2 linked regions of the Oreochromis niloticus genome follow. Each later gene encodes a partner of the first gene's protein in a complex. Links are inferred from orthologs where the notes say so. Each region holds a gene or a part of one and is shown in the gene's direction. Other genes may lie near its edges.

The links. Proteins that work in one complex are often made in the same cells at the same time.
Region 2: the proteins of sptlc1 (region 1) and ormdl3 are in contact, whole or in part, in a cryo-EM structure (PDB 7K0N), measured with the Homo sapiens proteins. The link is inferred for Oreochromis niloticus from reciprocal best matches to the Homo sapiens genes SPTLC1 and ORMDL3. Residues at the interface, in NP_006406.1 of Homo sapiens: Ala16, Leu17, Ala20, Pro21, Tyr23, His24, Leu27, Glu28, Leu31, Ile32, Trp34, Ile35, Leu38, Leu39, Ser41, Lys42, Thr43, Tyr44, Lys45, Leu46, Gln47; in NP_001307730.1 of Homo sapiens: Gly92, Val93, Gln94, Phe95, Thr96, Ala97, Lys100, Thr103, Ile104, Ile107, Tyr110, Phe111, Ser114, Tyr119, Gln121, Phe124, Thr128, Leu131, Met132, Leu139, Pro140, His143.

The regions. Positions count from the first base shown.
Region 1 is NC_031972.2:8,069,007-8,076,965, reverse strand, and holds the start of sptlc1 (serine palmitoyltransferase 1), read left to right. Parts: upstream 1-4,948; 5' UTR 4,949-5,027; coding exon 5,028-5,081; intron 5,082-7,959. Other genes in the region: chondroitin sulfate synthase 3, read left to right, coding at 1-1,526. UniProt on the Homo sapiens protein: Component of the serine palmitoyltransferase multisubunit enzyme (SPT) that catalyzes the initial and rate-limiting step in sphingolipid biosynthesis by condensing L-serine and activated acyl-CoA (most commonly palmitoyl-CoA) to form long-chain bases.
Region 2 is NC_031973.2:5,869,835-5,877,730, forward strand, and holds the start of ormdl3 (ORM1-like protein 3), read left to right. Parts: upstream 1-4,882; 5' UTR 4,883-5,202; intron 5,203-5,768; 5' UTR 5,769-5,800; coding exon 5,801-5,974; intron 5,975-6,600; coding exon 6,601-6,752; intron 6,753-7,896. UniProt on the Homo sapiens protein: Plays an essential role in the homeostatic regulation of sphingolipid de novo biosynthesis by modulating the activity of the serine palmitoyltransferase (SPT) in response to ceramide levels.

The DNA.
Region 1 (7,959 bases):
TTGAAGAACTTCACAGTCGCAAGATCCACAATGCCATTACGCTCCATCCCAACAAAAGTCCTGCCTACCAGTACCGGCTCCACAACTTCATGCTCAGCTGTGAGATTTCAAGGCTCCGTTACCGCACAATCCTACTCCACCGTGAAGGCCTACATATGAGTTATCTTAGTGATACAGAAATACTGTGGGAGGACCAACAGCTGGGTTCGCCACCTTCCTACATGCGCTATGTGCCCAGTGAGAGAAATGATGTCACTGAGTGGGATTTCCTGACAGGCCAACATATTTATTCTGCCGTTGAAAACAAGATGGCTAGGCAAAGCCTTGGAAAATTGCTTCGCACTGCCCTTGAAGACAATATTATACTAGAGGTCATGGAAATGATTAATGAAAATTCAAAGACACGTGGCCATGTAATTGACTTTAAAGAGATTCAGTATGGCTACTACAGGGTGGATCCAATACATGGTGCGGAATACATCTTAGACTTGTTGCTTCTGTACAAAAAACACAAGGGACGTAAAATAACTCTGCCTGTGAGGCGGCACGCTTACCTTCAACAGTCCTTCAGCCGGCCTTTCTTTAGTGAAGCTGAAGATCTAAATGTGTCAGAACTTATGGCTGCCATCAACTCTGAATCCCAATCCCTGTCATTCCTATCCAACTCTCTGAAGTTTTTGTCACCTTTCCAGTTCTATGAGTCAACAAGAGAAATGTGGGAGCAAAGCCAGAAAAAGATCAGCATTCTTGTCCCACTGTCTGGTCGCTATGGCACTTTTATTCGGTTTATGGAGAACTTTGAGAAAGTGTGTTTGATACCTAAACAAAATGTTCAGCTCTGCATCATTCTGGTGGACAATGTAAACAATAAGAATATAAAAAAGCATATTCATTTAATAATGGACTATAAGAGAAAGTATCCTAAAGCTGAAATGTCTTTAATCCCCATGACAGGAAATTTCTCACGAGGGCTGGCTCTAGAGCTGGGTTCATCACAGCTTGATAATGACACTTTACTGTTCCTCTGCGATGTTGATCTAATCTTTAGTGGTGATGCTCTGCAGCGCTGCAGAGATAATGCTATTCAAGGGAGACAGGTCTATTTTCCTGTTATCTTTAGCCAATACAGCCCTAAGATTGTGTATGGTGAAAAAGCCTCAAGTGAAAACAACTTTGTGCTCACCAAGAAAAGTGGCTTTTGGCGTGATTATGGCTTTGGAACCACCTGTGTTTTTAAGAGCGATTTACTAAAAGCTGGAGGTTTTGATACATCAATCCTAGGCTGGGGGTTAGAAGATGTAGACTTCTTCACCAAAGTTATTAATTCTGGTTTAAAGGTTTTACGCAGTCAAGAACCAGGAATTGTCCACATTTATCATCCTGTCAATTGCAATTCAAGCCTTGAACAGAAGCAATACAAAATGTGTCTTGGGTCAAGAGCAAGTGCATTTGCATCAGCTGTGCAGTTAGCAGAGATGTGGCTTGAGAAACACATAGAGGTAGGCTATAACAGAACTTCATCCTGATACCCCGACCTTCCAGGACTCCTCTACTTTCTGTTCTGCTTGAACGCAGATAGCTATGCACTGTGGCACCCAAGGCAGTCATGTCTCTAAAACTGAGTGTACTCTAACCAATGAAATGGTACTAGACACAGCTTAACCAGCAGGAGATAGACCAATGTTAAAGACACCAAAAGGAGATAGAACAGATCTGCACCCAATTTAGTGCAGAAGCAAGGCCAACTATCTGCTTCTTTACTTTCTTCTAAACCAGCTGGAAAATTGGTAAGAATGAGAAAAAGAAATATTTGGTATATGTAATAGCTAAATGTAGCTGATTGTTATTTTGTACAGTTATGCATCACTCTCTACTAGTCTCCTTTTTATACCGGCATAAATGAACTACTTGTTAATCTGGGTAAATTGAGGAATTATTTAAATGGCCGAAAGAACAAGTTGAATTATCCAAAATACTTGGCAATTAAAAAGTACTGTCAGGCAATGAAATCAACAGAAATTATTAATATGGTAAGTGAGATTTGTGAATGCTGGAAGTTATTCATAGAGTGATGTTTTACTTTGCTACAAGTTTGTGTCTGTAGCATAATTGTTGCCTACAACAATTATGTTGCCTACAACTCAGTGATTCAGTGAATTAGATACTTTGTTGCTTCTCTCCATAAGTTCTCATTGAGCAGCATGGTGTGCTGTGCTAAACAATCTGTATGTATGTGTAGGTGAGGGATTTGGTCCTGCTGTATTGATCTAAGCTAATCTACCTTAATCTCCCACTGCAGTTTAGAAATCATCTCGTGCAGATCTGAAGCTGAGCCTGTGTAGTTACCGTCTGTCCACATTTCTTGTATGCTTCTGTTCTAGAAATAAGTCCTGCTCAGCTGTCTTATTTCCAGTCTCAAGTCTAACTATAACCTGTTTGCTTTCATTAATTTTAGAGTATCATAATTCAGCAGCTTCACTGCCATCATTTTTACTCAATCAAAACCTAGGAAGACACACTAAGACAGAACCTCATTCTCAGTTACCCAAGGTGCATACAATAAATGTAGACACAGCTGAAATCAAATACCAATGAAAAAAGATATTATAGCTTTATCAATTAAAAATTATTGTAAACACCACTCAGTGTTGCACGTTATGTGCGTTTATGTACAATTGTGCCTTTCACTCTGCCGTCCCAGCAGCTTTCCAGTTGTTGCCACCTCCAAGTCCCAGTATCACTGAAATAGGGAGAGAGTGATTAACGAATTGATCTCAGCTGGCCTGCCAGCCTCCCTGGCACTACCCCCCTGAACCTCCATCCCACTAATATTTTTACATTATAACTAAATAAATAAAAATTTCTGTGATTAAACCAAAGGTAAAGGTACACGCTGCATCTAAAGGCTTGAAAGTGGAATGCACTACCTACCAATAAATAAAATACTCCGTTAAAGGCAGGATAACCGCTTTCACAATACTTTCTTATTCATGTGCAAAAGAAAATTTTTTTCTGCAAAACAAATCAAAAACATCTAACAATTTCAGTCACAGCATTTATAAGCTTTGATAATTATGTGTTATTATGCACTTTAAGTTTGCCATGCAGCCAGATGGCTAATGTAGGTATTGTTTTATTAATTGCAATTCAAAACAGACATTTTAACTTTTGTACAGTTTAAGATCAATTTCAGCAAGTTTATGGCTCTCTGTAACTCTAGAACTGATATAAGCAGTAGTATTTATTATAAAAATGAGATTTGATTGTAAAATATAAGCAAATGTCTAAATCTTGTGTTTAGACTGAAGTCCTGTTTCTGAATTGAATATAGGCTTTCTTCCCTGACTGATTAAGCAATGATCTGGTGACCTTTAAAATCCTTTAGACATTTGAGGTAAATCTAGTAAAGGGTTGGTTGAAAATTCCATTTTTAATTATTTCATGTTGATTTAATGATGTTCATATGGAAATGCAAAGATTGAATGCTGTTAATTTAGCTGGCTCTGAAAAATCTTTATTATTTTATTGACTATTTTTATTGTAATTATGCTTAGTGTAAATGATTGTCTTTTAATTCTTAATAGAAGATGTGTGATTATCCTTTATTGATTCTATTTTTATTTTTGTTGTTGTTAAATGTAACTACAGGAGTCATTAGGACAGACTCTTGAAAAGCTAAAATTAAACACAAATGAAAAATGAATCAACTTTTCAATCTTCAAGAAAGTGATCTGGAACCAACTGAAGTTTGAGGGTCATTCTATTTCCTTCCTTTGCTCACCACAAAATTTAGTTTAACTTGCTAGTTTTTGCAGTCTCAAAAGAGTGCCCCAAAAGGCTCTGCCTGAACTTTTGCACTGGTGGCAAAACAAAGCTCTCCACCAGATGTCACAGCTCCACACAGTTGGTTATTGAAGCTTGAAGTTGGTGAGTTCTTGGCCAAGCCTTTTGATTGGTTGACTGATTATGCAGCACTTTCTGGTATGAATATTTTGAGCCACCCCTGTTCCTGTCAGTTCAGGCAGACCTCTAGCACCTGTAATAGAGCTATTTTACGCTGACCTCTTTCAAGCGTGGGATGTTCTTCTGATGGTGCATTCTGATAATGCTGCAGTTTCTCTTTGTATGTTTTATTTGTTTTTTGCCACAGAAAATTGTTGGGCTAAATAAAGGGTGCTTTGTTAGCCACGAGCCATTTTACATGAATTTGTATCTACAATCAATCACAGAGGTAATACTGTATGTCATTACTGCGTCTGGACTAAAACAAATCATGGTTTCTGACCCAAATTTAGTTTGTTGGAATGTTTTTGTCTTTGTTTTTGTTTTTTGTTTTTTTCAAATCCTGTGTCAAAGCACTCCTTGTAAAAACCGGCCTTCACTAAATTTCACTTTTGTTCTTTGACAATTTGTTTCAGTACAGTCAGTCAGTTTCGAGTATTAAATTCATTAATCACACTAATGCTTTATGTAGTTATTCATTTGAATTAAATTTAATCATTGAGTCACCTTTGTGATATTAGTTTTCAGTTTTCAGCTATATTTGTCATATGCAAGTTAGCACAGGGTCAACATTGCAATGAAATGTGTTAGGCGAGCAGAAGACGAGTCTCTCAGCAGTATAGTACAATATAGGACTATAAGTTAAAATTATAATGCAATATAACACTAAAATTACAGTTCCAAGAAATAAAAGAGAAAATAGAAATGTATTGATGGAGCACCTTACCTCAATATTCATGTATTGAGGTGGGGTGGGACAACGTGACTGCACATGAGATAAAGTGGCAAGAGTGAGCAGCAGTGCAAATTTTTAGAGCAGTACAAGATTTAAAGTGGCATTTAGCACAGTATTGCATAGAGTAAGAGTTTTTATTTTTTTTATTTTATTATAAATATTATCTATCTATCTATCTATTATAAAAATAAAGTCATGGGGATTTTTGCGTGAGATAAGGACAGTAGCAGTGGTGCGTGACGTAATAGGGGTGTGGCATGATTGCGAGTGACGTTTCAGGAAGTCAAACATGGCGACCGGACAGCAATGGGTGTTGGTGGAAATGGTCCAGGCGTTTTATGAGGTAAGTGTTTCTTTTCCTCAGTTGTTGGGCCGAATTATTCCCTGACGTTTACTCGATTTTTCTTATGCTTGGCTACACGTTAGTGCTGTTAAATTTGTCCCAGGTTGTTAACTGTTAAGTTCTCGGTTGCGACCCGATGAAAGGCTCAGCCCGTAGTTGTTCAGCGAAGAGGCAACTCATCAAGGAAGTATGTAGTAGCTAGCTACTACTTGCACATTAGGTGAGCTACAGCGCTGGAGTTAAGTTTCTAAATGCACATAACACGATAGAGCTGCTACGACAAGAGCTTCAAACTGTGCTGAAGACGTTAGGCTAACTGTTGTAGCTTTTGTTTATCAGTGCTATGATTGGCTGTTTTATTATTAATAATATTATTATTGTTGTTATTATTATTGTTAGAATTACTCTTGTGGTCTGACTGTAGATTTCTGTCTTCCTTCACATGTTTTTGGTTAGTGATCGGGGAAACTTCTCAAAGTGATCAGCTATGTGTGTGTGTAGAGCGCGTCTCTTCCGTCATTTCGTAGGGCACTGTCATGATGGAATGAAGTAGGAGCATACTTTATCTTGGATATCTCTTCAACTATTCACAAGTGTCCATGTTAAATTTTTAAGCAATGACAAGTAGAACAGTCATTAGTGCTGTCACTTCAAAGGTAGGCTCTGGGTTTGAATCAAGAGAGCCAGCTGGGGCCTTTCTGCAGGAGTTTGCATGGTCGTGTGGGGTGGCTGTAGCTCAGGAGGTAGAGCAGGTCACTTACTAATCAGAAGGTTGCCCCAGTCTGCATGCCAAGTATCCTTGGGCAAATACTAACCCCAAGTTGCTTTGAGTGTGTGAATGCTTATAGATAGAAAGCACTTAAATCATAGAAGAAAGTGCTTGTGCGAATGGGTGAATGTGACATGTTGTATAAAGCACTTTGAGTGGCCAGAATCAGTCCATCCATTTACCACTTGTGCCTGTGTGGTTTCTTTTTAGGCACTCCAGCTTCCTCCCACAAAGACATGCAAGCTACATTAATTGTTGATTTTAAATTGGCTGTATTTGTGAATGGTTGCCTCTTTCTTCCTTTATGTCAATTAGGCTCTAGATGCCCAATCCAGGCAGTTAGAAAAATGTTGACTTTTCTTGGACATGTTTTAGCAAGTATCCTCATCCTCAGTTTATCACATCTTCATATCATTAATTTTCTGTTATGATGGTGTGGAGGTTAATAATGAATGTTAATAATAATTCAGTGTCCAACATAAGAGCCTCAGTTCAACTGGCCTATGTACGTTTATATTGCCCTGCAAAAAACATTTTTATATTTTTAAATAATAATGCAGTTTTATGATCATTTGATTTGATTTCACTTTAAATCTGATAAATAATGTTGAAATATCAAAGCCTTGAAATATGGTCTAGTACACCTCACGCCCCCCTTTAGACTCCCCCCTGCATGCTGCAGGTATCACTGCGATAGAAAGTGGGACGGCTGCCATCAGCCTTCAGCAGGCTGCCTAATTTAAACATGGGTCAGACTAAGTTAACAGTTCATCTGCATATTTTAATGTAATTTCTGCAGCTTTACTGTTTCTCGCTGTAGAGAATCTGCAGATAAAGCAAACGGTGGTGGATGGAGAAGCTACAAATTTCACTTTTCTTCATGTAAGAGTTTGCTGATCAGGTGCTTTCATTAAGGGCCAAAACCTTCTTCCCAGTAAAGGTTTTAATGGTAATTACAGGAACAGCACTGCTGTTTTGAACACTAGAAAAACGTTTTATTTCACTCTACCTGACTTTACTGTCTCAATAATGGTTCCACCTCTTTGCTCAACATCCATGTGTAGACAGACTCCACGTTAAACTATAAAATTATGCTGCGTAGGCTTAATGTCATCATACTACTTAGTCACATGCTTGTTCTTAGATATGTTCCTATTGCAAGTCTATTTTCAGTCACAAATTGGGGTGAAAAGCTCATGTTTACATGGTAACAACTGCACACTACACTGCCGTGTGTTAAACGAAACATTGGAGCAAAACATTTGTGTTGAGGATTTTTTATAATTGAGTTATTTTAATTGTTGGAGCCCTAGTAGAAATGCAGCAGTATGCTTTGGACTTCACTGTTGTTTTAGCTGATTGTGTTCTTCTTAATTTTTGTAACCTCGCATGTTGGTGCAGCCAGCATGATTGGGTTGAAGACATGAGTGTTCAACTGTGTTTTGTTTTTACTGCCATTTCAATTATCTTCCTCTTTTTCCTCCTCCTCCTAGTCAGTATCCTACTCTGTCACACTAATCCCTTACATGTCCTCTTTTACTGCATCAAAAAGTATTGGGCCAACTACATTTATAAGAGGTGTTTGGCCGTGGAAATACATGCCATGAAGTTCCTGATGCACAGTCCATGTGCTAAGAGGAGGTTTGGAATGCTCAACTTTTACAAGTGGTGTGCCTTAGCACTTAACACAATCACTCTAGAACTTTACATGGTCTGCAACATCACAGCTAAATGTCTTCGGTTTATAAACATTACTACTCTGCACTAATACCAATTACAATTAATCATGGAATATTTCAGAGACAAGAAATTTCACAAACTTAATTATTACATCATATTACAGTACCATGCTCAAATTCAGTAAACCATTTAGAGCAACCCTTTCTTTTGTAAATGTTTGAAAAGGCCCATTGCTTGGCTACTTGCTTTTTATACACTTGCAGCAATGAACTGAAAACAGGAATTCAAAGATTTAGAGTTGGGATTTTATACAGCTATCCGATGGATGTATGAAGTTCTCTATAGCTTAGTTGTTTATGTTGCATTTAAATTTCATTCAGGCATTTCCAGTGTTTCTGAAATGTTTCCACTTATTTTAATTCTTTCCTA
Region 2 (7,896 bases), on another chromosome or scaffold:
GTGTCCAGGACAGAGGGACAGAAGAGGGCTATGTGCCAGAGACTTTGTTCACACAAGATGAAGAGTCAACAGCCTCCCCATCCCTCACCCCTCTTTAGCCATCCCCCCTAATAACCACCTTCTTCAGAGAAGCTGCAAACACAATGCTGTCCCACTCCCCTCCTCTTGCTCTCAATCACTGCTGGGACAATGAGGGGAACTCCCCCCCCCCAGCACCCTACCACCTTCACCATCCTTCTGCCTCTCCCCGACCCCCAAACAGACACTTCTTTTATTGAAATTCTTTGGTGTTCTAATCCTCCGCTTCCTCCAGGAGCAATAATGGACTCCCTGCGTCAGCCTTTTCCAGCGAGGCTATCATCCAAGCCTGCCTGGGTCACAAGTCCACCCCTCCTACTGGAGAAAATTACCCCGGCAGTGTCATTCCTGTCACAAGCAGCCCATCCACAGGCCATAAAACCCCAATACCACTGACCTTAAGAACATATCTGTATTTGTGGCTAGATATTTCTGTGTTTTCAGGTAAAGCATTGCTCCATGCGTTAATTAAAGGCGCGACACTGATTTGCCAAAATCCTTTCTCTGCAGTGCTTCCAGATTTTTATAATTCTTTTATTTTATTGTGCTTTTTTCACAGTCTCTATCAACCTTTTAACATTTGAACAATTTCCTTGTGGCTGCAATTCACTGAGATTCTGAACTCACGAGTTGGTAGATGTCTAGAAAGTGCTGGAAATACAAAATACTGGATGAACTAAAATGTAAACCCGCACATTTTCTCGAAGAAGTGATGAGTACAGATTATACTTTATATGTTGTGTAAAGCTCATACTTGCATTGCCTAGTCTTATAGTCTTGTTATCTTCATTTACTAAAGTGGAAACCTGGTCCTATGACATGAGTAATCATTAAGCAACGTGCATTTAGACAGGCATTTAAAAAGGCATTGAATTCATTATATATAAAAACTTCTTTTTAAACACCTAAGAAGAGGCTCATTACCTTCTAAGTTTCTTTGCTGCTCAGAACGACAGAAAAAAGCAGGACTTAATTATGATAATTAATAATTACACCTCATATTATATCACTATGCCTCCACAGTTGTGTCTTTAAGAGTAGAAGCATCACAGTCCAGACTCCAGGATGGCAGCAACCAGTTCAAAGTGTGTTGATGGTGACATCTGCTGGTCTTCTACAATCAGACGCTGCTGTTTATCTGCATATTGCAGTCTGATGAGTGAAATATACAGGTGCCAAATACTCACTAATCTTTATGGTATCAGTAGCAAGAGATGTACAAAAAATGACTTTTTCAAACCTTGTAGAAGCTTTTTTTAAACGGACCAAACTGACTGTGTATTCTTTGACTGATTTAGCTTAAACTGCGATATTATAACATTATATGGCACAATATACTAAAGAATGCAACTTGTAGGCCCTTTGAGTTTGATTTTTTGCCACATCACAGAATATATAACTGCTTACAATTTTTCATTCCTGATTTTATGACTAATGTAAGCTACACTAGTTTCATTTTGAAAAGGTTATGATTTTTTTCAAATTACAGAGCAATATTTGGACTTGAAACAATGTAGAAAAAACAAAGAAGCATTCAACTAATTGTTTAAACTATGCTATAACACATGATTTACATGAACTGTTTAGTAACAGAATTTCAAGGCAGACAACAACAAATATATATGGTAAACTTCCTGGGTACAGATTTTTTTCCTGTCCCATTTTTTAGTTAAAATGTTCTTCCCAGAATACATGCACATGAGCTACAGTAATGTCTGTAAACTTATGGATGATAATTGGATACAGATTTATGCCTTGAAGAAAATATTCCTGGCTAAAACCATGCAAAGAATTTACAGTTGATTCGCATCTTAAGGGAGACATGGAAATATGAAATGCATCTCATCATTAAAAGCTCTTGTTGCTGGCATGCATCCTATTAATGGAATCGCATTACATCTGAAAGACTTAGCTAAATGAGCCGTAGGCAAAACCCTAAGAGTAGAGAAGTGGAGTTTACAGAGGAATATGTCTAAACATCTGTTAGATTTATAGCTGTGGAGAAATGAATGCAACCGCATGACACCGAAGCTTTGATCTATCATCATCAGTGGTAACTAAAGTTGTAAGACAACTATTAAATGGCACTCTGGACTAAACCAACAGCTAATGATTTAAAATGGCATTTTAACATATAACAAAACCTGTTTTTCTTAATTACATTTTGGTATTAAGGTTTACCCGCACCATCATTTACACGAGTGTGTGTTACTGAAATCACTGAAATACTCATCTCTTGATGTCAAACGTGCCCAGATGAGTACTTTCATTATCCCCCTCCTCCTTATATGTATTTTATCAGTGTCATGTACTTGGTCATTGTTCCAGTGCCAGAGATGATCTCACAGCACTGACATGCATAGTTCTCATTTGAGCAGAGCTCTAGGTTTACATATCTGACACAACTATAACTCCCAAGGCTATGAGCACACGAGACAGTCCACTGTCAGACGGCTAAACCCGTTTGATGCCACTCATCACAGGGGTACCCTTGGATACAGTAGGTGTCACATAACATTTCATGCAAGCAGAGGACTGATGACCCCCTTGGCTTCAGGCTACTGTGGGCCAAAGTTAGTATATGGGTTTATCTTGGGATCTAGAACACGACACTGTTGATCTTTTGATTTTGAAACCACAGTATGATCCCGTTAGACATTTACTGTTGCCTCTAGCAAGGTCTCCTCTCATCTTGGCTACATGAAGAATCGAGAGCTTTCTTTTATGTGTGTGTATAAAAATTTTGCTACTCACCATTTTGGAATTTTTAGCAGCTGTGAGAGCGTGGCTGATACTGTTTTAACTTGTGACTCCTTGTGTGTTACTGTGGCAAAATGCTAGCCTGTTGAAACCTAATGTAGTGTCTGTGGAGACTCACTGTCATTGGGATTTTATCAGAATATTCACTTTAATTCAGTTTTATTTATCTAGCACCAAATCATAACAACATTTGCCTCAAGATTCTTTATATTGTAAGGTAAAGACCCTACAATAATACAGAAAAAACAGCGAAAACCCCAATATTAAGATGACCTGCTTTGGGGAAACGCTTTGGCGACAGCGGGAAGGAAAAACTCCCTTTTAACAGGAAGAAAACTCCAGCAGAACCAGGCTCAGGGAGGAGCAGCCATCTATTGTGACCAGCTGGGGGTGAGGGGAGGAAGACAGGACAAAGAAACACTATGGAAGAGAGCCAGAGATATAAAGAAAAATAACTAATAAACAGCAGAGGATGAATGTATGGATTCATTGGTAACTTGTGATGTACTAATATATTTCAAGAACTGTCTAAAGACCAATTTCTGTAGCAACTGGAGTGAATCCATTGCTGGATGATCTCTAGATAATTTTGTGTTTAATCTCTCTGTTCCATCATATATTTATAAAATGTTTGTTTTTCTAAAAAAAACAGCCCTTCAACAGCTTCTCCAACTTAGGGCTGTGGGGGGCTAGACTCTTACTCTGCTGATATGGGGGGAAAGTATGGTGACCTGCAATATTTTTTGTCCTTTGTCACATCCTGTAATTGTGACAGTGTCTAACATTTTGATTTAGTCTAGTTTTCCAAGGCACTGCTATCCAGTGGTTATGAACAAAGACCATCATCATAAATCATGTGCATGTTATCATCACACTCTCTTGCTGCCTTGGCTACAGTATGCCAAACAGGGGAAAACAAACAGAGGAAGTCACCAAGTCTAAAGCTTTGCAGATTTCAGTGGAATATGATGGAAAATACCTTAAAGACAAGCAAATGCAGCAACAATAAAGACTATGAAGCTACTTATAACAGGATGACACTGGTGGAATTTTTTGCCTTTATTCTTGTAATTTTGACATTTCACATGGTGGTGAATAGCGACATGAAGTGAAACAGTGCATGTCAGTCTCACAAAGCTCCTGGGGCTAAAAACAAGAAGTGAAATGCAAATCTCAGTATGTTAGCTGGCTACTTTTAGCTGCTCCTTTATTCACAAGGGGATGCCACTGCACGACACATCAAATATGGTGCCAGATTGACAGATTTTTACAGCAGATGACCTTCCCGCCACAACTCCTAAGGGATATGTATCTCCTCACTGGATCAAACTAGGCATACTTCCTTGTTAGGGGAATGTGGAAACAACTAAATGATGGAGCCAATGGCCAAACTAAGGTTGTGTTCCTACTGAAAGCCAAAGACTATTACCAGACAGAACATTAACTTAAGGTTTCTACATTTATTGATAGAAGGTGTGTTAGAAGATGATGAAACAAACCTTTTATGTTTATTGAATTTGCCTAAATTTACTCAGGGAACTGGGAAAGTAGCATTTGACTAAAATGCCATATTGTTTGTCCCCAATGTGCTAAATTCCAGGTCAATTCAGCACTAACGTCAGCATCTGGGCACCTTAAAGGTGCTGTTATAAACGGATTTAGTATTATATACCCAACTGTAAGGCAATTATTTTATTAATAATACAATAGTAAAATTATTTTATATATATATATTTTAGTTTTTTGTCATCAGAACTAAGACGTTTTTATTTATTTATTTATTTAGATAGTTATTTTTGTTTGTTTAAAAATAAAAATATAAGCAATTTAATTGTATAAACTATACTTCCTCGTTTTTAAAATCAGGATTCTTGTTATTAAACGTAGCCTATAAGTGCCAATCACTTTTCCCTGAGCTCCTCCTCTGCCCTGACGTCAGGGAGACGTAGCTACGTGTTTTCAGCGCACTACGCTGTGATTGGCTAAATAAGCTCACGTGACTTGAACACAGCGTATCACTGAAAATTGCGAGGAGCAAAAAAACTCCTCTGAAACGTGTGCCGTGAGAGAGCGACGATGACGTAACACCGTGGACCGTGCTGTGTTGTCACCAGCTGTTGGCTAAAAGAAGACGAAAGAAAAGTGGACGCGTCTCGATGGATTGCGTGTTCACGAGGGGACCGTAGGGCTTACAGCCACGTTCGGAACTGAAGGAGGGGAACCGGGCGACTAATGGAAGCCCCGCAGACTCGTCAGCCGCGCAGGGATAGTATTAGTTACATAACTGAAGCCATCGATAACGGAAAAACTGTGATAACGGAGTAGTGCCCGTAAAGGTCGGAGTTGAAGCCATTTTTCTCTGCAGTAAGTGCAATGATTTCATTAATTAACCCAACGCATTTGAACTTTTCTTGTTTTTTGCTGTTTTTGCTTTCATGCTTCACTTCAAGATCTTTTTAAGGATCAATTGTCTCCAGTGATGTTTCCAGACAACTTGCAAAAGAGCATGCTGGAATGATCAGCGCTTGCGACATTGTTTACTCTAGTCAATCAGTTGCTACTGAACCAGCAGACACCAGCTTGCTCAGCAGTTTTTATTCACGCACAAGGCTACTTCTTAAAATGTGTAAATCTCATTTGATCATATTTCAATGTTTTCTCCATTTATACCACGGCAACAGGCATCTGATTGGCTTGCAGATGTCAGGTTAAAGCCATCATATAACCCACTGTTGCTTTATTGCAATACATAGTAATACATGAAAGTCATTATTTCCTTTATGCAGTTTCATTTAAGGGCAACCAAGCTACATGATTCATTTTCTTTTAGTTGAGTTCACTACAGGTGTCTGTATAACCCTTTAAATATTACCGCTTACCATTAGAGGTTGTAGATAGTCAGAAGGTAACATCTTTGGTTTTTGTTTCAGGAGACCGTTACACAAGTCTTACCGCCGCCATCATGAACGTGGGAACAGCACACAGTGAGGTTAACCCCAACACCCGAGTGATGAACAGCCGGGGTATGTGGCTGTCTTACATCCTGGGCATCGGCCTCCTTCATATCATCCTGCTGAGCATCCCCTTTGCCAGTGTGCCCGTGGTCTGGACCCTCACCAACCTCATCCATAATCTGGTTAGTGGTGTAGTGGTGTCCCTCAAAGGACCAGCACAGCCACGGTTTGCCTTAACCTTTACTGACTAGGTCAAGTCAGGTCAAATCAAGTCGAGGGCACGTGCAGCAGAGTGAAGAGGTTTAGGATGTGGTGAATGAGAGTAAGTTGAGAGCTGAGTCAGAGACATAACTGCTTGCTGCTTCACTGCTCTTAGACATGCCTTTGGTTAATGAGGTGGTTCTTTAACAAGCTTCTTATTTTTTTTTTATTTTTTTTTTTCAAATTTTCATAGTTCCTTTTTTTGTCTTTTTCAAATTGGACAGGCCCACATTTCTTGAGAAGAGCGCAGTATTAACCACACCGTGATCCGGTTACACAAGTGAATTTGCTAGTTGAGGCATGGGCTGTTTCATCATGCAGCTTAAAAGTGTTCCTAATATTGAGAACACATCCGACTTTTACTTATGAGCTTTACAGCAGATTTAGATTTATTTTAAAAGAAGAAGAAGAGGAAGCCCTTAACTTAGTAAGTTAACTTCCTGGAAGATTTTGTACTGAACAAAGTTTGCACTTGTATTCACATATCGATAATCCACTAGTGTGGCAATCATGTGACAACAGTGTTCTGTTTTCCCCTTCTCTGTAGTGCATGTACCTGCTTCTTCATACAGTCAAAGGGACACCTTTCGAGACCCCTGATCAGGGCAAAGCTCGCCTCCTTACACACTGGGAGCAGATGGACTACGGTGTGCAGTTTACGGCTTCACGCAAGTTCCTCACCATCACACCTATTGTCCTGTAAGTTGCATTCCTCTGCTTTTTTGTTTAGTGCTGCTTTTTAAGGACCCCAAAAAACGCTAGAGGACAATATAATGGGACAACACCTGAAGCAAATATGTTAGGTCTAAGGAGAGTGTAGACAGGAAATGACAACCAGAGTAGGTCATCAGTTCTCTGACAAGGACATGATGTCTCACTACCTTGTCATCCATCAGCTATTTTGTGTGTGACAGGCCTAAAGCACAAGCAGCTCGCTATGAATGAACCTGTGTGTTTGTGGCTTAATCACAATGCCAGTACCTTTTATTCTGAGTGAACTTGCACACACTTATACCTCAGTGAAAAATGTATGCTGCATTATAAAATTGAGTGCTTACTATCCTTTGGCGTGAGTGTGGATTGATTAGCATACACACTGCTCCCTTATTAGCCAAGCCTGCACATTGAGAAGGGGCACAGTGTGTGCAGAAGTGCCGCTTGCTGCTTTCTTGGCCTTTTTCTGTCCTTATTAACCACCACAGTTCAGTTTACAGGAAGCACTCTGCTTCCCCAGGGTTTATTTGCCAGCTCAGCACGAACATTGTAGCGATAGCGCTTTTGCAGGTGTGGACTTTGTTTTTGCACTTATTTAAAGGGGCTCTTTGTCATTTTGTTTCGTAACCAGCGCCAGCAGGAAGAAGTGAGCGGTCAGTCTTTAGACTCCAGATGTAAAGGCTACACATCTGCTGAAATCTTCTGGGAGTGTTTTTGTACATGTCCTTACCTGTTCCGCTGAGAGCAGGAAATGCAATTCATCATTCTCACTTAACAAAAACCCCTTACTGCCACACCTAAAAGTGCGACTCATATTAAATCAGCATAGTTTTATTTATCCCAGCATCTCACCAGGATTAACACAACTCTGCAAACATACAGCCAGCACACAAGCCGAGTTTATATAGAACATGTATGTGGTTTTGGGGGGGCGGGGGTCTCAGGGGGCCATAATAAAAATAATAAAAAATCAATAAAATAAGTGTAGGATCACATGATGAAGAACTGTAAAATAAGATGCACACATTGCTGAATTCTGCTAAACTCTATAACAACATTTGTTTTTTACTTCTCATATTTTACTTTGGTTTCCTCTGAGGTTACAATAAGAAAAACTAGCTTACATCTT